Notamacropus eugenii: one gene and its partners. The protein of the gene in region 3 interacts with the protein of the main gene of each other region in a pairwise test. Links are inferred from orthologs where the notes say so. Each region holds a gene or a part of one and is shown on either strand. Other genes may lie near its edges. The genes, in order: ZNF639, TRIM37 and PNKP.

What was found.
Region 1: the proteins of PNKP (region 3) and ZNF639 interact in binary tests that used the Homo sapiens proteins (3 or more experiments, as listed by UniProt). The two-hybrid records come from large-scale screens. The link is inferred for Notamacropus eugenii from reciprocal best matches to the Homo sapiens genes PNKP and ZNF639.
Region 2: the proteins of PNKP (region 3) and TRIM37 interact in binary tests that used the Homo sapiens proteins (3 or more experiments, as listed by UniProt). The two-hybrid records come from large-scale screens. The link is inferred for Notamacropus eugenii from reciprocal best matches to the Homo sapiens genes PNKP and TRIM37.

What each region holds. Positions count from the first base shown.
Region 1 is NC_092877.1:344,920,451-344,927,799, reverse strand, and holds the start of ZNF639 (zinc finger protein 639), read left to right. Parts: upstream 1-4,138; 5' UTR 4,139-4,305; intron 4,306-4,608; exon of another isoform or gene 4,609-4,808; intron 4,809-7,349. UniProt on the Homo sapiens protein: Binds DNA and may function as a transcriptional repressor.
Region 2 is NC_092873.1:371,820,527-371,828,909, reverse strand, and holds the start of TRIM37 (E3 ubiquitin-protein ligase TRIM37), read left to right. Parts: upstream 1-5,084; 5' UTR 5,085-5,337; intron 5,338-5,554; exon of another isoform or gene 5,555-5,684; 5' UTR 5,685-5,777; coding exon 5,778-5,798; intron 5,799-7,678; coding exon 7,679-7,780; intron 7,781-8,383. UniProt on the Homo sapiens protein: E3 ubiquitin-protein ligase required to prevent centriole reduplication. Probably acts by ubiquitinating positive regulators of centriole reduplication.
Region 3 is NC_092876.1:12,096,868-12,104,849, forward strand, and holds the start of PNKP (bifunctional polynucleotide phosphatase/kinase), read left to right. Parts: upstream 1-4,852; coding exon 4,853-4,997; intron 4,998-5,076; coding exon 5,077-5,123; intron 5,124-5,420; coding exon 5,421-5,675; intron 5,676-5,753; coding exon 5,754-5,833; intron 5,834-5,906; coding exon 5,907-5,964; intron 5,965-6,039; coding exon 6,040-6,147; intron 6,148-6,235; coding exon 6,236-6,307; intron 6,308-6,472; coding exon 6,473-6,521; intron 6,522-6,610; coding exon 6,611-6,681; intron 6,682-6,762; coding exon 6,763-6,855; intron 6,856-6,943; coding exon 6,944-7,040; intron 7,041-7,134; coding exon 7,135-7,196; intron 7,197-7,421; coding exon 7,422-7,531; intron 7,532-7,608; coding exon 7,609-7,696; intron 7,697-7,784; coding exon 7,785-7,846; intron 7,847-7,919; coding exon 7,920-7,982. Other genes in the region: TBC1D17 (TBC1 domain family member 17), read right to left, coding at 529-603, 715-816, 1,162-1,182; AKT1S1 (proline-rich AKT1 substrate 1), read left to right, coding at 1,573-1,754, 2,934-3,331, 3,435-3,664, 3,790-3,933. UniProt on the Homo sapiens protein: Plays a key role in the repair of DNA damage, functioning as part of both the non-homologous end-joining (NHEJ) and base excision repair (BER) pathways.

The DNA of each region.
Region 1 (7,349 bases), on a different chromosome or scaffold from region 3:
ACAGTTAGGTCTTTCCCCTTGTTGGGGAGCCAGGGGAGGCCCATGTAGAGTAATATTTAAATTTGGAACACTGTGTTGGTATGATGGAGGCCCATTGGAGAGGAGAGAGGAGGAAGAATTGTCTTGACTGTTTATAAGCTTAGAAGCAAGTTCTTTGTAGTTCTTGTTGGGATAAGATAATGCCTATCCTCTGAGGCATGTCTGTACTGTATGTGATATCTTGTTATCCTGGGTGCTTACAGGGAGCTTAGAGCCCTTTTACTTTTATGAAGGAGACTGGAAATTCTGATGTTCCCAGAGGAAAGTGAGGGTAAGTGCACAACTAACTATTCTCTCTTATTAGAAAGTTTTCAAGATTGACCCTCCTCCCCCATCCATATTAACTTAGAGCTGCGGTTCTGGGTCTGCCTTTCCTGAAATTAGAAAACTAATCCCAGCTGACATGACACTGAGTACTTTCTAATTTAGGGATATTGTATGGGGCCATTAAACTTTTGTGATTTTTCCTTTTTATTAAAAGAGATCTTTCATTTAGCATAATGTTGTTTTTTTTTTTTAAAAAGTAGATTTCCACATATTACAAAGTGGTCAAAAATGTGTCGTACAGACTCTGTCCTACAGAGTACACAGAAAGTTACATTTAAAGATTTGCTGGGAAGCAAAAAACATGATATAGTGATCCCATTCCACCCCCTTGTGGTTATTAGGTTGGAAGTAAACACTTTTTTTTTTCTTCCTAAAAGAGATGCTGTACTTTCTTTAGTACTTTGGATGCTGTGGAATGTGGATTCATGGCTAGACTTGAGCCCAAAAGTTCCAAGGTCAAACCCATCTTCTAACATTAACCAGTCGTGTAACTCTGTCTGGATCAGTTTACCTTTCTGCATGTTTCCTCCTCAACATAAATGGGGATTATAACTGCAGAGAGCTGCTAAAGAGGCTCAAACAAGAAGATGGATGTCAAGAGTTTTGATAGCCTTAAAGCCCCATGTGGTCAGTTTTAGAAGAGGTCAATGATACCTAATCTGATCAAAACCTGATGACCTCCTTGCTGCTGAATTGATCCTAAATGTAAAAATAGAACCACAGGATGGTTAAGACTAGAAGGGACCTTTAACATAATCAGGTCTAAATTTCTCTTTTTATGGATGAGGAAACAGGGCCACAGAGAACACAGAAATTGATTTGCCCAGGTTTGTATTGCTAGAGAGCAGACCTAGAAGTGCTTAGAACAAGGATCTCCTGACCGACTCAGTACCCAGCTGTTTCCAGTAGTCATATCTACAATAGTCATGACTTCAGGGAAATAAAAAGGATCTTGATCTGAGATCCAGAGCTGAAAAAGACTTGAGATCATTTAGTCTAGTCTGTCACTTTACTGAACCTGAAACCTAGAGAATTTTAGTGATTTGTTCATGTTTCTTTCAAATCTAAAGGTGATCCTTTTTCAAGCTGTTTAAATCAGGTCTGCTGATGTTTATTGGGTAAGCATCTTACAGCCCATCTTATGTGATTTATGCACATTCTGTTGAAATACTGAACACCAGGAGCGTTTTTGACCCCTCTGGGGATAACCCAGGATGAGTGAGGCAGGCCTAGCTGTAATGAAACTTGTGACACTAAGTCACCTTGCTTGTCTTCCACTGCTGCTAAGGCCCTTGGAGATTTTACAAGAAAGAAGGCCTGGAAGAGGCTGGGCCAAATTTGGGCATGAATATTCTTGCCCTACTTTGATATGAACTGGTCCTCTCCAAGGTGCTTTCTTCAACATGTATCTGAATAAACAACTGCTCCTTCTTTCCCTTCTTTATTCCCAAGGAGTAAAAGAGGATGATAGGAAACAAGAGGTGGAATTTTGCAATGGAAATGGCACTGAATTTAATCAGAATTCCCAAGGTTTGGATCTCGAATTGGGACTCATTGCCCATCCTTAAGCAATAATTTCTCCCTCTGAGCCTCACTTCTGTACAGTGAGGGACTAGAATGGGGGCGGGGGAAACCTGTGACCCCCAAGGCCACATGTGGCCTTCTAGGTCCTTGGGTGCATCCTTTTGACTGAGTCCAAGTTTTACAAAACAAATCCTTTTACTAAGGGGATTTGTTCTATGACGTTTGGATTCAGTCAAAAGGCTACACTTGAGAGCCTAGAGGGACACATTTAATTACTGGATGAATTCTGAAGTTCCTTTAAATTTTTAATCTCATGACCCTATGGCGAAAGAAAAAGCTAAGGAGATCTGACGCTTCATAGAGAAGTATAGTGTCTAGAAAGAGAAGGCAGTCAGCCTAGTACTGTCTGGCAGACCACACCTAAATGCTGTCCTTCGGGGGGGGGGGTCACATTTAATAGGGACATTGATACCTTTTGAGGCAGCAGAATGGTGACCAGAGGACTGACTTCCAGGTCAGGAAAATCTGGGTTTATATCCTTCCTCTAATGAATGCTGACTGGATGGTCCCAGTCAAGTCACTTAACTTTTCAGTGGCCCAGGCAAATCTAAAACCATAATGCAAGAGCAAATGATTGCCTTTGGTTGAGGGAGTGTTCCTATCCCACAGATTCTATGCCAATAAAATTATAGGTTCTCTAATTAAAAAAAAAAAACAAAACAAAAATTTGCACTTGTCCAAAGAAGTTTTGCTAGAATGAGGAATGGATTAGAAATCATGCCATAGAAGGAGGATAATAAAAGAAAGGAACTGGATGGCCTGGAGAAGAAAAGACTGGGTCAGAATATCAGCTTTCAAAAACCTCAAAGATGCTCATGTGGAACAATTGTAGGAGTGATACGTCCTGTTCCATAGAAGTCCAGAAGAAATTTTCCCACCTTTTCAAAAATGTAATGAGTTTCTAAATTAAAATATTAATTTGCCTCTGAAACTTATATATGTACATATATACACACATATGTAGTATATAGTTATTTACATTCTCTCTTTAGAAAGTAAGCTCCTTGAGGGACTATTTTTGTCTTTCATTATATTCTCAGCTCTAGCACAATGAATGGCATATGGTAAGCACTGAATAAATGCTTGTTGATCGATAAGAAGATGTTCTAGAGGTCAGAGAAGCTTCCTAAAGATTAATGCTGCCCATATGTCATCTTACTGGGGAGGTGGGGAGTTCCCCCTCACTAGAAAGCTTCAGAAAAAGGCTGGATGACTACTTCTTGAGGATGTTGTAGAAGATCCTCGTTCAAGTAGGAGTTGGACTAGAGGAGGTAGCTATGTAATGCAATGGATAGAATGCTGGACTTGGAGTCAGGAAGACCTGAGGGCCAACCTTCTTTGGCCACTGACTACCTGTGTGACCCTAGGCAAGTCATTTAACTTCTCTGTGCCTCAGTTTCCTCATCTGCAAGATAGGAATGAACAATCTTACCCACTTCTCAAGGCAATTGTGAGGATCATATATGGAAGCTTTTTGTAAATCTTAATGCACTATGTGAAAACTTATTTTTATCATCATTATAAGTGACTTCCCCTAGATGTCAACAGGTAGTAGGTAGAATTCACTAGCAGCTACTGTGGCCCAATGGATGAGTGGGGTTTGAAGTCGGGAAGACCAGATTTCAAATACATCCTGAGACACTTACCTGTGTGATCTTGGGCAAGTCACTTAACCTCTGTCTGCCTCAGTTTCCCCAACTGTAATATGGGGATTATATTAGCACCTACCTCTCAGGGGTGTTGTGAGGATCTAAGGAGATATTTAGCACATAGTAGGTACTACCTAAATACTAGCTTATTAACAGCAGGAGCAGAAACAAGTTCTTCGGCCTCGTAACTGTTTTGCAGATGTAAAACGTTACGGAAAGACGAGTTGTCCACAATGAGTATCAGTACTATCTACCCCTTTGGTCGGTTCACGGACCCACCATCCACCCACCCAAGCTCGCACCTTTCCTGACCATCCCTCGGGCCGAGGTCTCAGATTCCAGGCCTCCGAGTCAGGTAAGGGCTCAGCCCCCACGCGGGCCGTTCACCGCCTCCGGACTCCCGCGCCCGCGCAGGAGGGCGGGGGGAGGGGGAGGGGTCCTGTCCGGAGTGGTCCCACGTGGCCGGGGGCAGGCGCGCGGGCTGGCTGCTCGGCCCCTCCCTTGGCGGGGGCGGGGCACGGGCGGCGCAGCGGCACGGAGGGTCCGGCAGGGGGCGCGCGGCGGCCGCCGCCTGCGCTGGGGCTGGAGGCTGGTGGTCGCTCCCTGGCCGGGTGTGCGTGCGGTCGCCGCGCGCCCCCCCTCCCTCCCGGCAGCCCCTCCCCCGCCCCGTCTCGGGAGGTGCACGGCGCAGGCGCGGAGCCAGGTGGTGAGTGCGGGCCGCGGCGGGGCCGGGCCGGGGGAGGTCTAGGGCGGACGCGGGGCCTGGGCAGGCCGGGGCCTGCGCGGGTGGCGCTCGGGGCGAGGGCCGGGGCCTGTGCGGGCGGGCGGCGTGGCATGGCGCGGCGTGACGCCCTCCCCGCGGCCGGCGGGCGGGCTCAGCGCGTGGCCTCCTCCCGGCGCGTCCGAGGCGGCCCGGGCTGCGCTGCGCCACGCCGCGCGGGCCCTGCCTGCGGGGCCTCAGTGGCTCCATCCGCGGAGTGGGCGCGCAGCACGCCCGCGCCCATTGTACGGATGGGCAAATCGAGTCACCCGGGTGAGGCCATGAGTGGCCGAGGGCTCCGGGCCTGGGCTCAGAGAGACCCGAATTCAGGTCCAGCCCCTGCCACTTACTGACCCCGGGCTATCCCCCGAACCGCCCAGTACTTCGGTTTCCTCGTCTGTAAAATGGGGGACACGCTAATACTTACCTGCCTAGCAGCGTGGCCCTGGGTAAGTCAATCACCCGACCCTGACCTCAGTTTCTTCATATGTAGCATGGACTGGATAGTGGGGGCTGCGGGGGGAGTAGGGCTGACGCTGCGGTCACGTTCCCTCTAAAGCGTTTTGCGAACCTTAAAGCCCCGAGCGTTAGCAGTTGTTGGTATTATTAGTAATGGTAATAGGCCATTTGCCCCAGGTAGCAAAGATCGCTTGCGGTGGAAGCAATTTTGGAGGCCAGGTTCTTTGACCCCCAGGTCCCAGGGCTGCCCCCTGTATGGGGAGAGTGCTCCACAAACCGTGTAACCTCGTGAAAACTGCACTGACGGTTGTTGGTGTTCCATCATCGCCGTCCTCATCCCCATCTCCCCTATCCACTCGGTGGGACGTGCATTAATTAGACTGAGCCGCGAGGCCTGGCCCTGCCCCACTCGTGGCCTCGAGGCTTTGGACAGTGATTTGTCCACAAGCGCTTCCTAAGTGGTGCTCCATGTGTGGCAGCTCGAGAGCACTAGACTCAGGAAGCAAAAAAATAAAAAGACCAAAAAAAAGAAAGCCAGTCCCTTCCCTCTAGGAACTTAAGTATCTACGAGGAGAGGGCTGCGAAATAACTTTGTATCTAGGAGATAGATACAATGTAAATGCAAGGGAATCTCCTAGGAAAGGCACCCGGAAGAGGGATTTGCAAAGGCCTCTGCTTTAAGGTGGGTTGTGAACTGTCTCTAACGAAGAACAGAGAAGCCCGGAGGTGGAAATGAGGAAAGGGGAGCATTCCCAGCATGAGGAACAGCAAGTACAAAGGCATGGAATCAGCAGATAGATGTTCTATGAAGAAGGAAAAGTAGGCCAGGGTTGCTGGATCCTAGAATGTGTGGAGGGGAGTAAGCCAGGTCACTTAGGGCTTTAAATACCAAACAGAGGAATTGATATTTTAACTTGGAAATACTAAGGAGCCATTAGAAGTTAACATTTTGATTATATGGAATATGCCTTAGGAAGATCACTTTGACAGTTGAGTAGAGAGTGGTTTAGAATGGGGAGAGATGGGACCAGGAGACCCATCATTGTAAGTAGTCTCCCATAGAGGGAGAGACACAGAGCAATTTACTATCATGTGGAACTTTGGGTAGAGTCCTTTCTGCTCTGACACTAACTGTGTGACCCTAGGCAAATCACTTAACTTGTCTGCCTCAGTTTCCTCCACTGTAAAATGAGTGTAACAGTAATCTGCTTGCCAGGGTTGTTGTGAGGATCAAATGAGATGATATTTGGAAAGGTTTAGCACAGCGTCTGGCACACAGTAGGTGCTAAATAAATGTTTTATTGCTTCCTCCCCCCCCCCAACATTCCCTGGAAATAACACCAAAAGAAGAGGTTAGCAGAGAGCAAGGGCCCTGGAGGCAACTTAATGAGTGTGAAAGTTAAGGAGTTTCTGAATTGGGAGACTACTGCTTGTCAGAGGAAAAGCAGCCGCATTGGCTAGAGGATAAACTTAGGAAGCCTCCCAAGCCATGTCCTGACCTGTCTGGCAGTCTGGCCCTTGTGGGCATTCAGATAGTGCAGGTCTGAGGCAGCAGTGAGCCTTTGTTTCAGCAGCAGCACAGAGTTGTCTTCTCTTCCCTGTTTGGGAGAATATAAAATATGTGATGGACTTCAGAATAAAAGTAGAGCTGGACTTGGTGATCTGTGATAGGTCCTTCCTGCCCTGCCTGATCCTATGTGTGCAGCTGTTTGTAAGTGTGCAAACCTGATGTAAATGTGAGCCCCTATCATTGCTGCATTTGGACAGCATTGGTGGTGAGCCGGATGCAGGCACATCTTGGGGCCTTGGTGGAGTCTGGCCTACCCAACTTCAATAGCACCTGCTCTGAGCCAGGTGCTCTGTACAACCCACAGGGCAGACGGTCTTCATCCTTAAGCTACGCTCTGCTTAATAACTGAAGAACTTTGAGCTGGGCCCTAAATAACCCTGGGCCTCAGTTTCCTCATTTGTAGATTTGGAAGTTGGTTGAGATGATCTCTGAAGTCAGATGATTGTAGTAGATGAAGGGTTGGTTGTGTGATAATGGCCGAGTGCCAGGATGAAATAACCTGTTTGGGTGGGCCTTTCATCTATTTATTTGGGGGAATAAAATACAAAACTTCATTTTATAATGATAATGGCAAATTGGAATGTTTCTAAGTATAAGGGGTTGCTAGACACATATTTCTGTGGTGCTATAAGATTAAAAAAGCTTTCCACTACCCCATTGAGATGGGTACTGCAATTGTTGGTCATTTTACTGATGGGGAAGTTGAGATTCAGGAAAGTGAAATGAGTCTTCTTCATCCAGCCTAAGGTAGTGGTTGTCAAAGCCTGGTTTGGGATCCATGATTCTCTCACCAGGGGATGCAGATAATATGATGGCTACAGCTTGGCATTTTGACTCAATGCTGCCTTTAAATTCCAGCTTGCTACTTACTACTGTGTCGTCTTGGGCAATTTGGTATTGATTCAGTTCAAACACTTACTAAGTATCTACTGTGTGCAAGGCTTTGAGACCTCATAGAGTA
Region 2 (8,383 bases), on a different chromosome or scaffold from region 3:
TGGAGTTAAGTGACTTGCCCAAGGTCAAATAGCTAGGGAGTGTCAAACGTCTGACACTGAATTTGAACTCAGGTCCTCCTGACTCCAGACCTCAGGCTGTATTCACTGCATCACCTAACTGCCCCTAGGATGAAGGTTTTTAACCCCTTTTGTATCATGGGACTCCTTTGGGGGTCTTATAAAGCCTATGAACCCCTTCTTAGAATAATATTTTTAAACACATAAAATCCATAGGATTGCAAAGGAGACCAATTACATTGAAATACAATAATTAAAAAAAAAAAGTTCACTGAACCCCAAATTAAGAATCCCTGTTGTAAGGATAAAATACAAAATCTTCAGTCTGATTTTTCACATCCTCCACACCATGGGTCCCCTATACCTTTCCGGTAATATTTTATATTACCATCCACACACCCTTGCTGTTCCCCAAACGTGGTGTGCCACCTCCCACTTTTAGCCCTTTGCACAAGGTAGACTTCATGTTGAGAATGCAGTCACTGCTCACCTCTACTTCTCAGAAATCAGCTTTGTCTAAAGCACAATGTAGGGATTACCTCCTCCTATAGAAAGGCTTTCCTGGTTTCTTCTTGTAATTACTTTGGATAACCTTTGTATTTACTTAACTTTGTGAATCAAACCTTTTTTCCCCCCTTCAGAGCAAAGTATTCTTTGTTGTGAAAAATCACAAGACACTGAATGTTTAAGTTGGCAACAAATAACGGTTCCTGGGCAGTCAGGCCTACAGCAGCCTTTATCTGGGGATTGGGATTTCTTTGCCTTTCCTTTCCTCTCCCACTTTACTTCCCTTTGACTCCCAGTTGAGGAGGCAGCTTTGCACTGTGGTGGATATAACTGCTACCGTGACCTTCCTGACTCAAGGCAGGAAAAACAGGAAGCAAGCTGCAGCTGGGAGAAGGTAGAAGTCTCAGGGTATGGGAAGGAATTCCGCAGCACACTTAGCATTCCATACAGCCATCCCCTTTAAGGATCACTGGCATGTGTGCTTCTCCTCTCCCTTCTCTGCTCTCCTCCTCCCCCCTCAAGTAGAAAGTAAGTTCTCTCTGGTTATTTTTTATTTTTGTTGTTGTTATTCTAGCCTTTACATCCTGGTCTCCAGCACAATGCTGGTACTTAGCAGATGTTTAAAACAAACATTTGTAGGATTGGATTGGATTGAATTGACAGGCAGGAATTTGGGCCTTTGTATTTTTTTGTCTCTTAAACCCCTTTTCACGCCACAGTGATAATAATCTTTTCTCACAATCTGTTTTGGGCATTAATTAGCTTATCACAGAAATAATGACTCAGAAGGGGTGAGGGGAGGAAATGGGCACACTACACAAAAGTCAATAAAAAACCCCACCAATGTCTTTTTATGTTTCCTTGATCTACTAAGGGTACTTAATGCTTAAAATAGCTCAATAACTAGGACTTTCCAGTAGCATGGTGTAATAAAAAAAATTACATTATGGATTTGAAGCCCAGCTCTGCTACCTATATAGCAACAGAAACAAAAAAAAAGTGGAGGAGTTCTTATTTTAGCTCCTACTCCCACTAATAGACTGGGTCCCTGAGAGTAGCTATTGTATCTTTTCCTTAAATATTCTAGGATAGAAGTGTTACTGGGTCAGAGCTGCATGTAGCTCACAACATTCCCTAATGTTGCTGAAATTAGATTAAAATGTAATTAGGAAATATTTAAGAAGACAAAACATAATAAGATATAGATTATTACATTTTAAAACTAAGTCAATATGTGGCTGTAGGTATCCTTATTATAGGATTTAGTGACCTCTAAGCTCATCTCCTTTCTTCCTTCTAAAAATAGGAGACACAACAGAGACAAAAGCAACATAGGTGCCATATATTCCAAGGCACATTATACTGGTTGGGGAGGGCCTACAATGGCAAGCAGGGAAGAGAGGGATTGAATTGTCAGTATCTTTATTATGCACACTCAGTTTTGGATCAGTAGTCAATAAAAAGGTTTTCCAGGATGATATCGCAGGTGAACAGAAAAGTCAGTGTTTGCATATGCTCTGAAGTGGAAGATGTGGCCTCTCCATTCTGTTACATCTCACTTCCAGAAGCAGACCACTCAAGCATCTACATACTTTGGCAGCAGACAGAAGCATTTGTGTATACTGCTAGGACTAGGCCCCTCATTGGCTAGTCACCCCCCATCCCCACCCTCCCCTTTTGCTGTGAGACCTTGGGTACATTACTTCATTCCTCATTCCTGTAATCCTCATCTGCAAAATAAAGGTGTTAAGACTAGATAACCTGGAGGATCTGTTTTTCGCTCTAGATCTGGTAATCTATTGCCCTAAGACTTACACGATTCTCTGATCCTTACTCATTAGACCTGTGAGCTCAGTGAATATGAAAAAAGGGATGGAGGATATGCATAGAGTCCAGGGTGAGGAACTTGTGGCCTTTTGACTGAATCCAAACTTTTGTTTGTCCAAACATTTGTTCTGTAAAGTTTGGATTCATTCAAAGGGCTGCATTTGAGGGCCTGGGGGTCCACATGTAGCCTTGAGGCTGCAGGTTCCCCACCTCTGGCATAGACTAACTCGACCTTGTTACTGGGGCAGCCAACTGTATTGTCAGCACACATGATTTGGCTTAAGCCCCAGGTCTGGGGAAAAAAAATCCCCTGAATGAACAAGAACAAAACATTTGTAGAAGCCTTTTACCCAAGGAATTAAAATGCAGCTGGGATGGATGCCTTCAGAATAGGACAGAAGTCTTTGGTGTACTATAACCCAAGAACTGGCAACTAGTCCTAAGGGAAGGGGGTGTGTAAACAACTGAAGCAGGGACGGGGAACAGATTAGAATTACTGGTTGGTGTTCAGCACTACCACTAATGCTATTTCTTGTTGGGGGAGACGAGATGCTAGGAAAACACTGTATGTAGCTCAAGCCAATGCAGAATGGTGGGGACCGTCTTTGATTATGAGAACAAATCTGCTGAAATGCCTACTTCCCTGTTCTGATTCCAAGAGCCTCCTTGCCTAATAGCCAGCAATATTTCTCCCCAAGGCCTGTCATCCTTCTCCCTTTGGCAAGTTCCTCCTGAAGTCTCTATTTTGTGATGATTACCAGGCCAATCTGCCTTCGTGGTCCTCCCCTTTCTTGTTGCTTCCTCTCCTCCACAGCCCCCTTTCAGCTTTCTTTAGCGTGTGATTTTTCCTCCTTAGAAAGTAAGCTCCTGGAAGGAAGAGACTTTTCTTTGTGCTTGCATTTACGCTCTTTGCATTTAAACACAGTGCCTGGAGCACCATAAAGGGTTTAATAAATGCTTGTTTCCTTCCTTTACCTCCCTTTAGTTCTTGTGCTGAGTCTAAATGTGATTTCCTACTTCTTTGGGAGTTTGTTTGCTTTTTGTATTTGTCAAGTGCAATCAAAAGAAAATTGTTTCTCTGATACTCAGTTTGTGCCCCGAGTAACATACTATGGTTGCCTAAGGGGGAAGTGGAGGAAAGAGACAGGGACTGTGATTCTTTTTTTAATTGTTGAGATTTTTCCCAGTTTGGGGGCTCAATTAGAACTACATATATTTTGATACATATCAATAGATTCTTCCCCAAAGCTGAGAAAAAAGATGAATACAGACTTAAGACCCCCAAACGAGTCAGTAGGAGGAGGGCTAGGCAAGTTAAAGGGGAAGGAAGCCCCTAAGAGGCAATAGTTAGAAGGAAACACAAAGAGGGTTTAGAGACCTAGAGGGACACAAGTCTGGAAAGACTTAAGGGTGGGGGCCTGGAGAGAGGTAGGAGCTAATTTTCTTGATTGAAAACATCATTCTTTTCTTATCCCTTCCTTCCCGAACTGCCGAAGCCCTTCTCCAGTGCCAGGCTCTGTATTCAGGGGCTAAGATTAAATAAAAAGCAAGAGTCCTCAAGGAGCCTCTATTTTTAGTAGTGAGAGTGCGAGGTGGCACCCGGCCTAGACCTGAGTTCAAACTGGACCCCGGACACTAGCTGTGACCATGGCAAGTCTCTTAATCGATGCGTGTGTGCCTCAGTTTCCTCCGCTGTAAAATGGGGAGAATGGCAGCACCTCCCAGGGTTGTTCTGAGATACCTGTAAAGAGCCTGGCACACAGGAGGCACTACATGAATGCCACTGTTACTAGGAAAGCGCATCGTGGCATCAGGGGTGGGATGCTGAGGGTAGCAGCCAAGGAAGCTCATGACTCTTTCCAGAGAAAGCGAGGTTAGACTGTGAGAATGACAGTCCTTAGAGCAGCGGCCAGGGTCAGGGGAAGAGCTGAGAAATACGACATATAAGCAGACTGATGTCCTCCTTCCTCCTCCCGCGGTGGCAGGATGCCCCGAGGTTACTGCGGGAAGTGCCAAGGTGAGTGGCGGCACGTCCCGCGGGGGCCCTTCCGTAACAGCACGTTAGGAGGCTGGCCCTGCCGGGCGGAGCTGCCTTTCCCTAGCCAATCTGTCCTATTCTGTTCTGAATGAACGAACGCTCCTTCTCTCAGCCGTTACATTCAGAATACAATACAAATCCCCGCCATTCTTCCTCCCGGGGGCGTGGGAGGGGGCCTCGCTTCCTCCAGAGGGCTCACAGGCAGACGGGAACCTTTCCACGCAGGGCGTTCCCAAGGGCTGGAAAGGCACCCAGCGAGCCGCCTGACACGTGCCAGCGGCCGAGGCGGCCGCGTTCGTCCTCCGCTGGCCCAGACCCCGACCGGACCCGCCAGAAGCAGCGCGAGCAAAGCCTTATTTCCAATGCACTCCTTCGTCCACCCGCCCACCTATCCCGGGCCAGTCACCCGGACAAGACCCACCGAGGTGCAGCCTCCCAGGGCACCTGGCTCGAGTTCGGCTCTGAGAAAGCCCGGGAGCTGTCCCGGGGGCGGGGCATCTGGAGGCCCGGCCTACCGGCCCGGCGCGCTCTCCACGCGGCGGAAGGGCGATTTTCGCGCGGTAACGGGGGGCAGGGCATCCAGGAGACTCTTCCAAGATCCGGCCGAGTCGCGCAGTCCGGGTCAGCACGCTCTCCGGCGGGGGGGGAGGAGCGCTCGCTGCCCCTCCTCCGGTTAGTCCCCGCCCTCTGCGGTATTCCAGGCCCCGCCCCCTCCGCGGGCGCGCGGACTCCGAGCCAACCGCCGCCCCGCTCCCAGCCAGCCGCTACAGGCCCGCGGGGGGCGGCGCGCGACACTGCGGCAGCCGCGGGACGGTCTCGTGCTCCGCCGCGTCGCGAAGAGCACGTTTCTCCTCTCTTGCGGAGGCCTCCTACGCATGCGCGTTGCTCCCCTCCCGCTGCCGCCACCACCCTAGCCACCAGCTGCCCTGGTTACCGTTGGTGTCCCGGTACTCCCCTCTCCTAGCCCCGCGCCAGCACTTAGGCGGGATAGAGCCGTTCCCCCTGTCACGGGGGGGGTGGGGGGGAGGGAGCCGCTGTGGGGGTTCACGCTCGGCCCATTGTCCTCCCTGTTCGCCCGCTCGACCCCCCGGGCTAGGCTGGGCTGGGCTGGGCTGAGCCTGGCGCGCGGGGCCGGCTGACTGGAGAAGGGAGGGGCGCCCGGGTGGGGCGCGCGCGGACAAAAATGGCGAAATGGGGTTAGGCGGCGTGGAGGCGGGAGCGGCGGGGCGCCGAGGCGGGACCGGGTAGACCCGAGCCCCTGACCCCCACCCCGGGCATCCTGCTGTTCTCTCAGGCCAACCGGACCTGGCCACCCGGTTCTAACACCTGGTGGAGGAGAAGGACGGACTCCGCGGGATACCGCGGGGCCTGGCGGGAGCTGGAGGCAATGGATGAGCAGAGCGTGGAGGTGAGAGAAGAGGGGCGACGTCACTGCCGAGGGGAGGGGAGGGGGCGTTCTTCACCGGGGCAGCTCCGACCCCCCCCCCCCCCCCCCGCCCTCTTAGCCTTTTCCGAGGGGGGCGTGTCGCGTGCTCCAAAGGAGCCAGGCTCGCTTGGTTCTCGGCGCCACGCCCCCCAACACCGATGCCCCCCCACCGGCCCACCCCCTCCCACCGGCGACCCCCCAACACCGATGGCCCCCCTCCCGGCACCCCCCCAAGTGCCGCAGTCAGCTGGGTGCGCCTCTGGTGCTCCTTCCCGGGAGATGCCTTTGCACAATAATCCCTGTCCAGAAATGGAATGCGAAGGAATGGGTGCCCGTGTGCCCGCACTCTGTGCACCCGGCTCGTAGCGGTGCCCCGATTCCCCCTTACCGCACTGCCGGGCCCTTTTTTCTCTGCCTGGTAACCTGCCTGCCTCCAAGGGATGGGTAAAGACGTGCAGAAGTTCGGGCTCTGAGGCGCCGCGTCTGCCGGAGGCAAGGGGAATGAGAACCAGAGCTTAGCCCCCTCCCCAGCTTCCCTCTACCCCTGGGGAACAACCCCGAGAAGGGTGGGGGCTTACTCTGGGACGTGTGCTAAGGCACCCTGAGCCCCCAAGTGCTGCCGAAGGTGGCCGGTGAGGACCCTCGCTGCCCTCTTACTAGCTGGGACGTATTTGTCGGTTTATTGCTGTACGCTTATTTACTTCGATTTCCCTCAGCGTAGCTGTCCTGTTAGCTGTCCCCTTACACTACGTTCCAGTTTTGTTACACGCACGTTCCGTTAGGTTATATTCTATCCCCTTTCCCCCTCGGGAGTTCCCAACCTTTTTGGATTGCATCCTCAGATCCCTAGGCTTTCAGTCAACTTTCTGGTACCCTTTTATTCAATATGAAAGGAAATAAATTCTAGAGTTTACTATGTACGTGCATATAAGAAATGAAAGAGAAATTATTTTTTTAATAAAGAAAGCTTTATTTGGTACATAACCCGTTTAGTATTATAAAGGTTTTTTCCCCCATCAAATGTTGTGTTAGAACATATTAAGATAAATTAGTGAGACCTTTCATTCTTCTTGTCAACAGTTTTATTTTTGGTACAATTTTTGAAAGAGATATCTGCATGCCATATCCAGCTTCCACTTTTTTTCTTGCTTTAGATTTAATTGAGAACAGGATTGAGAAACCTGATTCCCAAAGACAAATTGTTATAAATGAAATTAAAGCTTTGTGAACATATAAGAATGGCTTACTGTTTTCCAAAGGTATACCCCAAGTTTTGTAACTTTATTGATTGGAAATCATTTTGAAGTCTCTAGTTACTGTGGAGATGAATTGGTTCATCTTTCACTGGGATGTTGATATTTTTTTCCAGATCCAAATGAAAAGTTTCATATTCCAAACCTCATTTATTTGGTTTTGGTCTATAAAAAATATTCATTCTCCCTTTCAGATTTTTAAAGTGCTCCTGCCTTTCCTACCCTGCCCCTGCTTCTTCACCATTTTTCTCTCAATTCACTCATTTTTTTCACTAACACTATTACTTTTGAAGTATTTCAATAGACTGACATTTATTTACCAAATATTCCTCTACTCCCTTGACAAGGTTTTCTTATTTCCTGGGGGAACATTTATACCAGACTGGGAACCCCTACCCTAATAGATACAAACTCTAGGGTCTTGCTCTTTTTCTTTTGGTTCTTAGTGAATTTCCAGTGTCTAGCACACTGCCATGCATGTAGTAGATACTTAATGTTTGTTGAACTGTTCAACCCATTTCTCTCACAGAATGCATTTAGAATTCCCAATAAGGTATTATATTAATGTTGATTCAGTTGCCTGATGTAGTGGTTTAATTATTTTCTTAGAGTATTGCTGAGGTTTTCCGATGTTTCATTTGTATGGAGAAATTGCGTGATGCACGTCTGTGTCCACATTGCTCCAAGCTCTGTTGTTTCAGCTGCATCCGGGTAAGTACTGTTCTTTTTAGTTAGAAGTAAGTAGGTTGGGTTATGACTTAAGGAGACTTCTGATAGATTGCTAAGGTGGACTTTCCATTTCTTTGTTGTTCTTCCCTGGCTATTGCAATTCTTATTTTAAAATGTGATAATTTTATTATTGTCAGTGAAATGAATGGGAAGGGTTTGGATTAATTTTTTTCTTTGTGCTTCATTGACATTATTCTCCAAGTGAATACTTACTTACCTCAGAATGTGTGAGGGTGATGTGAAAGGTAATAACATAATGGTTATACTTTGGGGCCTCGTAATGACTTTTTTCCTCATCCTTAAACTTCACTTTATCTTAGACTTTTATCTACCTACTCCTTTAGTGTGAGTGCCTTAGAAAAGCCGTCTCTCTTTTGTCATCACTATTATACGCTTCCTCCAGTTTTTTCAGTCTGTGGTATGGTGGAAAGAGCACCATACTGGGACTTGGGGTCTAAGTCCTGCTTCTGTTGGCAAGTTAGTTCAGCTTTTTTGATGTCTACATTAGTTTCCTCATCTGTCAAGTGAAGGGGTTTGACCAGATTATCTATAAGATTTCTCTTATTTTTATGCTTCAGTTTATCC
Region 3 (7,982 bases):
AAAACCCCAAACATCAATTTGAGTCCAGATTTTCTGACCCTGTCACCGTGGGTTTGACAAGTAGACACTGAGCCCCCTAAAGGGGAACAGACTGATCTGAGACAGCACAAGGGGGTGGGGCCCTGAACATACCCTGGAGGAGAGGGGATATCTGAATTTGTGAAGGCTGCATATATCCTGGGGAGGGGCCCCTAGACATGCCCTGAGATAACAGAGACCTAGATGTATGGGAGGCCCTGAAAACTCCTGGGGAGGGAGCCCCAAATGCACAGCAGAGACCTAGATATACGGGGGGCCCCACATATTCCCAGAGGAAAGGGGCGATCCAACTGTGTGAGGGGAGGTGCACGCCAACACACCCCGAGATAGGATGGGAGGGTCGTGGGGAAAGGGAGACTGAACACGCGGGTGGGGGGCCAGAACTTTCCAGCCTGATTTGGGGGGCACGCCCCCCAGACACGGAGGGGGAGGAGAAACCGAACACATCGAGACCCCAGGAAGAAGACCCTGGGGGGGCGGGGTGCCCACCTTCCTAGAGAAAACCACGTGGGAGGAGTCTCCGGCCTCTTCCACTGGGGCCCAATGCAGGATGACGTCATTGTCCTGGGGGGAGGGAAGGACAAAGAGAAGAAATGGGAGACCCAGGGCTGCCCCGCCCAGCTAGCCCGAGGCCGCCCCCACGGCCCAAGCCACGCCCACTTGCTGGGAACCCACCTTCTCGAGCAGGCGCAGTACGCCAGCGATGAGCGAGCCCGGGTCCTGGTGCCGCCCCCTGGCGCTCGTGTGCAGGTATACTCCGCCCTTCTCGAAAACCACCTACAGGTGGGGATGAGGCTGAGGCTCAGCAGGAGCCTGCACACGTGCACAGAAGCGGGCAAAAGGGGGAGGCGGGTGCCCGGGGGCGGGTGGGTAGCATGCGCACAGCCAGAAGTGAGGAAGCAGTTCCGCCCAAGGGCGGTACCTGAGCAGGGGCGCATGCGCAGAAAGATCAGCGCAGCTGACGCTTTACCGAGGATTCGAGGCCGAGGGAGACGCGTGCGCTAAGAGATCGGGGGCCAGAAGGGTAGTGGGGAAGGGTCAGAGAAGGGCAGGACCCAGGTTCCTAAAGGACGGAAGGAAAGGTCAAACAGGAGGCCTCTTAGGTTCTCCGCCACCTCTTACCCGGTAGCCAGCTTCCTCCATAGTCGCAGCTGGGGCCGAGGCCACACCCCTAGCTCGCTCCGCCTCCGGAGACAAATTCCTTACGTCACATCCGGCGGGACGAACCTCCCCTCGATGGGAGTAAAATGGTAGCGTCCGCTTGTTCCTTCGGCCGTCAGCGGATCAAACCACTAATAGAAGAGGGAGAAGAGTAACAAATGCGTTCTGCGCAGATGCAATGGGGGGGGCGGTGCTGAGACTGGGCAGTGCGCCGGCGCGTCATGCGGGCTCCCAGCAAGAAGTAAACAAAGACGGAAGTTGCCAAGCCTCGCCCCACCGCGAGAGCCCCACCTTTTCCGCCTGGATTTTTAGGGATGCCGCAGCGGTGCTGCCATCGTTCAAAGAAGCGAGCTGCGCAGCGCTGTGAGCGCCATGTTAGTGCGGGGCATACCACTTCCGTGCAAGGAAGTGGGGGGAGGAAGGGAAGCGGAGCGGGAGTCACCCGGAGGAAGGCAGCGGCCGGGGCCGTGGTGTCGCGGGCCCCCGGGGCGAGGACGTGGTTGTACCTGGCCATGCTCGCGGGCAGGAGGCGGAGCGGCCCCCTCAGGGATAAGGTCTGTGGCGGAAGCGCCATGGACCTCGGCAAGGGGCGGGGCGTGAAGCCGCGCGGCCGCCATGATGTTTAAGGGCAGGTCAGGTGGGCCCCTCCTTGCAGAACGAGGGTAGGCTGCAGAGACGCGCCGACCGCGAGTCGCGAGCGCTTCGGCGAGGCTGGCGCCGGGCGGAAATGACGCCGAGGCCGCCATGCCCTGTGAGGGCGCCAGGCCCGCCATGCTGGCCGCAAGCACGTGAGCGGCTGCGGCGCGGACGCCTGGGGAGGACCGAAGGCTGGCGGGGAGGGAGGCAGGGAGACAGGAGCCCGGCCGAGGTAAGCGAGCTGACAGCGCAGCCATCCTCGCGTGGAGAGAGGGGGCCGAGGCCCCGCGCTCACTCCAGAACTTCTCCGATCCAAGCCCGTAACCTATGTCGGGATGATGGGGGAGCGGAGGGGGGTGGTCTGGGGTCCGGCTCCTGGCGTGCCCCCTCCCACGCAAGGGCGGGACTTCCGGTTTCAGCCTTCTCTTCGAGAAGGCGGCTTTCGACGTTAGCTTTCCCAACCCCTGGGAGGCGGGACATCCGTTTTCCTCTTTGGGGAGTGGGGAGGCGGGGCGAAGGGGGAGGAGGGGTGATTTCCTCTTTCCTCTCCCCACAGGGTTGGGGCTACTTCGTACCTCGGAACTCCTTGCCCCGCCCACAAGGGGCAGGACTTCCTGTTTTCCCACGTGGAGGGCGGAGCTGAGCAACTGTTCCATGCCCAAACTGGGGGAACTGGTGGCAGGTGTGGAGGGGATCCTCTCTTAGGTGGAAACCTGGATGCAATTCCGGACTCTGCGGCCTTTTCCCTCCTCCCATTAATCCCCCTGGATTATCCCTGCCCCCAGATCCCTCCCCTCGGGCGTTCTATGTCACCGGCCCTAGAACCGGCGTGAGACCTACCGCTTTGTAACCTCGGTTGCTCCCCCCATGGCGGTGTCTGTCGGGACTTCTGTACAAGCCTCTGCAGAGACAGGGTGACGGCCCGGCCAGGGTCTTCTCTGGGCTTTTGGGGCCTTTTCTGTCAAAGAAGGGCATTGCACTAAACAGCCTCTTCAAGCTTTTTCAGTCCCCTTCTCTGTTAAGGTGTGTGTAAGTGTGTGAGTGGGGGGGCCACTATGCGCGGCTTCCACCTGAGTCACTCTCTTTTCTCTCACCAGGGCGTGGATGGCATCTGGGCGTCCTGAGGAGCTATGGGAAGCCGTGGTGGGGGCAGCAGAGCGTTTTCGGGCACAGACAGGTACGGAGCTGGTGCTGCTGACAGCTGCACCCCCGCCCCCACCACGGCCAGGCCCCTGTGCCTACGCAGCCCATGGCCGGGGCGCCCTGGCAGAAGCTGCCAGGCGCTGCTTACATGACATAGCACAGGCCCACCGGGCCGCGGCTGCCAGGCCCCCTGCACCACGCCCTGCACCGGAGCCCCAGGCCCCTAGCCCAAGGAGCTCTCCCCATCCTCGGAGGCAAGAAGACAAGAAGGAGCAGGAGGACGGCAATGAGGACGAGGAGGAGACAGAAACAGAGACTTCAGGGAGCAGGCTAGGACTGGGAGATGACGGAGGTAAGAAGGAGCCAGAAGGAGGGAGTGGGTGCAGAGGGAAGCTCTGCCGGATGGAAGCCTGGGAGGTCAGAACTGGGAACCAAGACCCCCCACCCTCCTTCAGGCCTCTTTGTGATGGACGAAGACACTGCCCACGAGGACTTGCCCCCATTCTGTGAATCTGACCCTGAGAGCACCGATGACGGGAGCCTGAGCGAAGAGGCACCAGCCGGCCCTCCGTGTGTGAGCCAGGTCCCCCAGCAGTATGCCAAGTCCCTGCCGGTTTCCGTGCCAGTATGGGGCTTCAAGGACAAGAGAACGGAGACCAGGTCTTCGGATGAGGAGAACGGGCCCGTGAGTGACGGTGGACATGGTGGGGGGTGGGGGGTGGGGGGTGGGGGGTGGGGGGTGGGGGCGGTTCGATCTGCAGGGAGGGGACCCTGAGTAGCCCTGGCTGACCAGCTGCCCCCTGCCCACAGCCCTCCTCCCCGGACCTTGAGCGCATTGCGGCCAGCATGCAGGCCCTGGTTCTGCGCGAGGCCGAAGGCTCCCAGGTGTTCGGAGACCTACCCCGGCCCCGCCTCAACACCAGTGACTTTCAGAAGCTCAAGCGGAAATATTGAGGGGGGGCGCCTGTCTGCGCCTCCCCTTTCGCCTATCCTTTTTCTTCCTTCTTCCCCCACCCCCATTCCCTGCCCTCTGGCCCCGCCCCTGGCACGTCCAGACCTGGCCAATCCCGGATCCGTTCTTTGCCCCACCCTCCCTTTCTCTGGGGCTCCGTTTTTCTTGCTCTTCCCGTGCGTTGGGGGAGGGTAATGGAAGTATCCAATCGACTCCCCGAGTTTCCTCTTAATTCCACTCCTCCACAGGCCCTGGCCAATCCCAGGCTCTTTTCCCGGAGCATCCTTTAGGGGAGGGTGCGGGGGCATCCAATCAGCTCCTCGTATGGCCCTTGTGTTGTCCCCTTGGCCAACCGCAGCCTTAGTTCTTTTGGGTCCTCCCCTTTAAGGAGGATCCAATCAATGCCTGAACTGCCAGTGGCTCCCGCTGTTCGGGGAAAGACTTTACTACGGAGAAGCCCCTATTCTCGACACTACAGCCGCCCTGTTCTGGTTCCGCCCCACCTCAGGGATGGCCCAGTTGCATTAGTCCCTATCCGATGACGCTACCCACCCCTTATTGGCCTGTTCCTGGGAAGGGTTTAGCCGATCAGCTACCCCTCGCCCTCGGGGGCTTGCTAATCCTCTGTTCCCACACATGCCTTAAAGGGCCCTGCCCGCCCCTGGGAGGGTGGGAAGGGGCAGGGGGAACGCCTACGAATAAAGAGTTTGACTTTGACCGTGGCCTCCGCTCTCTGGGAAGGGGCTGGGGTGGGATTCCGGGAGTGGGCGCGGCCTCGCCCCACTAGAAGGAAAGGGGCGGGTCAAATTGAAATAGGCCTCGCATACGAGCCCAGCCTTCCTTTTTCCGGCCGCGCTCTGACGGGATAGGCGGGACTTCCGGTGGCGGTCCTGAAGCCGGCACAGTGCAGGGGTGGTAGGCATGGCCACGTCGGAACCCTCCCTGTGGCTGCACAGCCCTCCTGGGGGTCCGCCCCCGATCCCCTTACCCCCTGCCGGCCGCAGTCTCGTGCTGGGTCGGGGACCACAGACTCGAGTCACCGACCGGAAGTGCTCGCGCAGCCAAGGTGGGGAACCAGCGCGGCGGGGTGGGGGCGGGGCCTGGGCATCGAGCGGGCGGGACCTCATCTTCCCCTCCCCCACCAGTGGAGCTGCACGTGGACCCCGCGTCTCAGGTCGTGATGGTGACGCAGGTAACAGCGTGGCGGGGGGTGGGGGGGCTGGAGGGAGGGATCGGGTCGGCCGGAGAGCGGCTCGTTGGGTTTCCTGTTGTGGGACGCATGCCCTGGGCACGCTGGCAGCCGCGGGGGGCGGGGTAGGGCCTGATGGGCGGGGCTCCCCCGCTCCCCAGCAGGGCGGGCTGGCAGCCGTGGGGGCGGGGTAGGGCCTGGTGGGCGGGGCTCCGCTCTCCCGCCCCAGCAGGGCGGGCTGGCAGCCGTGGGGGCGGGGCCTGACCAGCGGGGCCCCGCCCTCTCCCCTCCCCCTCCCAGCTGGGCGTGAACCCCTCCAAGGCCGGGGGCACCCAGCTGAGCCCCGGCTCCCGAGCTCCGCTGGCCGTCGGGGAGACGCTGCTGCTGGTGAACGGCCGGTACCCGCTAACGCTGCTGAGGACCGCGGGGCCTCCGGAGGCGCAGGAGGAGGCGCCCCCCCCCAAGCGGGCCCGCGGCCCCCAGGGCCCCCACGGCTGGCAGGAGCTCGGGGCCCTGCTGCTGTTCACGGATCCCGGAGCCCAGGCCCGGGAGAAGGTGAGCGCCCCGCCCGGCGGCCCGGGGGGCTCCGCCTGTGCCCGGCAGGTCCCACACCAGGCGGCTTTGCCCCCCTAGGTGGCCTGCTTCGACCTGGACGGGACCCTCATCACAACCCGCTCCGGGAAGGTCTTCCCCACTGGCCCCGAGGACTGGAGGTGAGGCCGCAGCCTGGGGAGGGTCCCGGCAGGGGGTGCCCCTCCGGTGCCATCTCCTCCTCCTTCCCCCCAGGATCCTTTTCCCGGGGATCCCGAAGCGGCTCCAGGAGCTTGAGGCCGATGGGTACAAGGTAGGGGCCGGAGAGCTGGGGGTGGCGGGGCTGAGCCGAGGACCCCAGTGACCTCCCCTCCTGCCTTGACCACAGCTCGTCATCTTCACCAACCAGCTGGGCATCGGGCGAGGCCGGCTGCGGCCCCAAGACTTCCAGGCCAAGGTGGAGGCTGTGCTGTCAGCCCTGGGGGCTCATTTCCAGGTGGGCACGAAGCACGTTACGGAGCAGCGGGTGGCAGCCTCTGTCTGGAGGTCTTACCTGCCCTTGCCGTGTCCCTTTCCCTTTGCAGGTGCTGGTGGCCACACGCGCGGGGATTTACCGCAAACCAGTGACAGGCATGTGGGATCACTTGTGTGAGCAGGTGCCTCTGGGCTGCCTTTGGAGTGGGAGGGGAGGAGCTGCCTGTTTCTGGGGGTCTCAGCCCCCATGTCCCTGGGACCCAGCCCTGCTTCCCTTCTGCTTTCATCAGCTCTGGGTATTTCCCGCTTCCCCTTCTTCCCAGCATCTCTGATCTTGCTTCTCTCAGGCCAACGACAGAGTCCCCATTTCCTTGGCAGACAGCATCTACGTGGGAGGTGAGGTCAGGAGCAGTTTGGGAGGAGGTGAGAGGCTTGAGGGGCATCTCTTTCTGAGGCAGAGGAACTGAGGCCAGCCCCATTTTCAGATGCTGCAGGACGTCCAGCCAACTGGGCTCCAGACCGGAAGAAAAAGGACTTCTCTTGTGGGGACCGGTTGGTGAGGGCTCCTATCTCCCCAGCTCCTGCCTAAGACTGCGGTCTGGGGGGATCTACTTTCTCATTCTGCTTTCTCTCTCAGTTTGCCTTGAACCTTGGCCTGCGCTTCTCAACTCCCGAAGAGTTTTTCTTGAATTGGGCTCCAGCCCCCTTCACGCTCCCAGACTTTGACCCGGTGAGGTCTGGGGAGCTCTGGATGGGAGGTGGAGACACATGGGAGCCTTTTATGGGGCCTGGTCTCATTCCTCCCCAATTTCCTGCAGAGAACTCTGAGCCCCACAGGGCCCTTGTGCCTGCCACCTGCTGGGCCTCTTGTGGGTCCAGGCCCCGAGATCATCATTGCCGTTGGCTTCCCAGCGGGTGAGACAGCCTTTGACTTCTGTCACCCAACCTCTGTTACCCTTCCCCAGACCCAGCTCCATCCCTCATCTCTCTGCCCTATCTCTTCCCACAGCTGGGAAGTCAACTTTTCTCCAGGAACACCTGGTGTCAGCTGGCTACGTCTATGCAAACAGGGTACATATGGGACTGGATGGGCCAGCCCAATCCCCCACTGCTGGGACACCTCCCATTTAGCGGAGGCTTCATGTAGCTTGTGGGAACAGGAGTCTTGTTTCTAGTTGGCAGCCAGGGACACTTGAGGCAAAGGGATTGTTCTGTGCATCTCCATGTCCCTAATCAGCTAAAGAGAGGGAAGGTCAGGTTCTGAGCTGAGGCTTAATCCCCATCACTTTCCCCTAGGACACACTGGGCTCTTGGCAGAAATGTGTGGCTGTTTGTGCTGAGGCCCTGAAGGCTGGGGGCCGAGCTGTGGTGGACAACACCAACCCTGACCCTGCAAGCCGGGCCAGGTACTGAGGGGGACATGAGAGAGTAAGGCAGGAGAGAGCCACATAGAGCCCTCCCAACTTCCCCCTGACCTCGGCAGGTATATCTCATGTGCCAAGGATGCTGGAGTCCCCTGTAGATGTTTCCATTTCACGGCTTCACTGGATCTGGCCCGACACAACAACCGGGTGAGGAGGGGCTGGTACCTTTGGCCATGATCCTGGGCTCTCTGACCCCAACCCTCTGACTTTATGACCCTGTCACTTTTCCCCCCAGTTCAGAGAGATGATCGGCTCCCCCCACCCTCCAGTGTCTGACATGGTCATGTTCAGCTACAGGTAGTGCCTGGGTCTCAGGGCTGGAAGTGGGGCTTTGAGGCTCCTGTCTAACCTCAAACTCCCTCCTCTCCAGGAAGCAGTTTGTTGCTCCATCTCTGACAGAGGGCTTCTCACAGATCCTGGAGATCCCATTTCG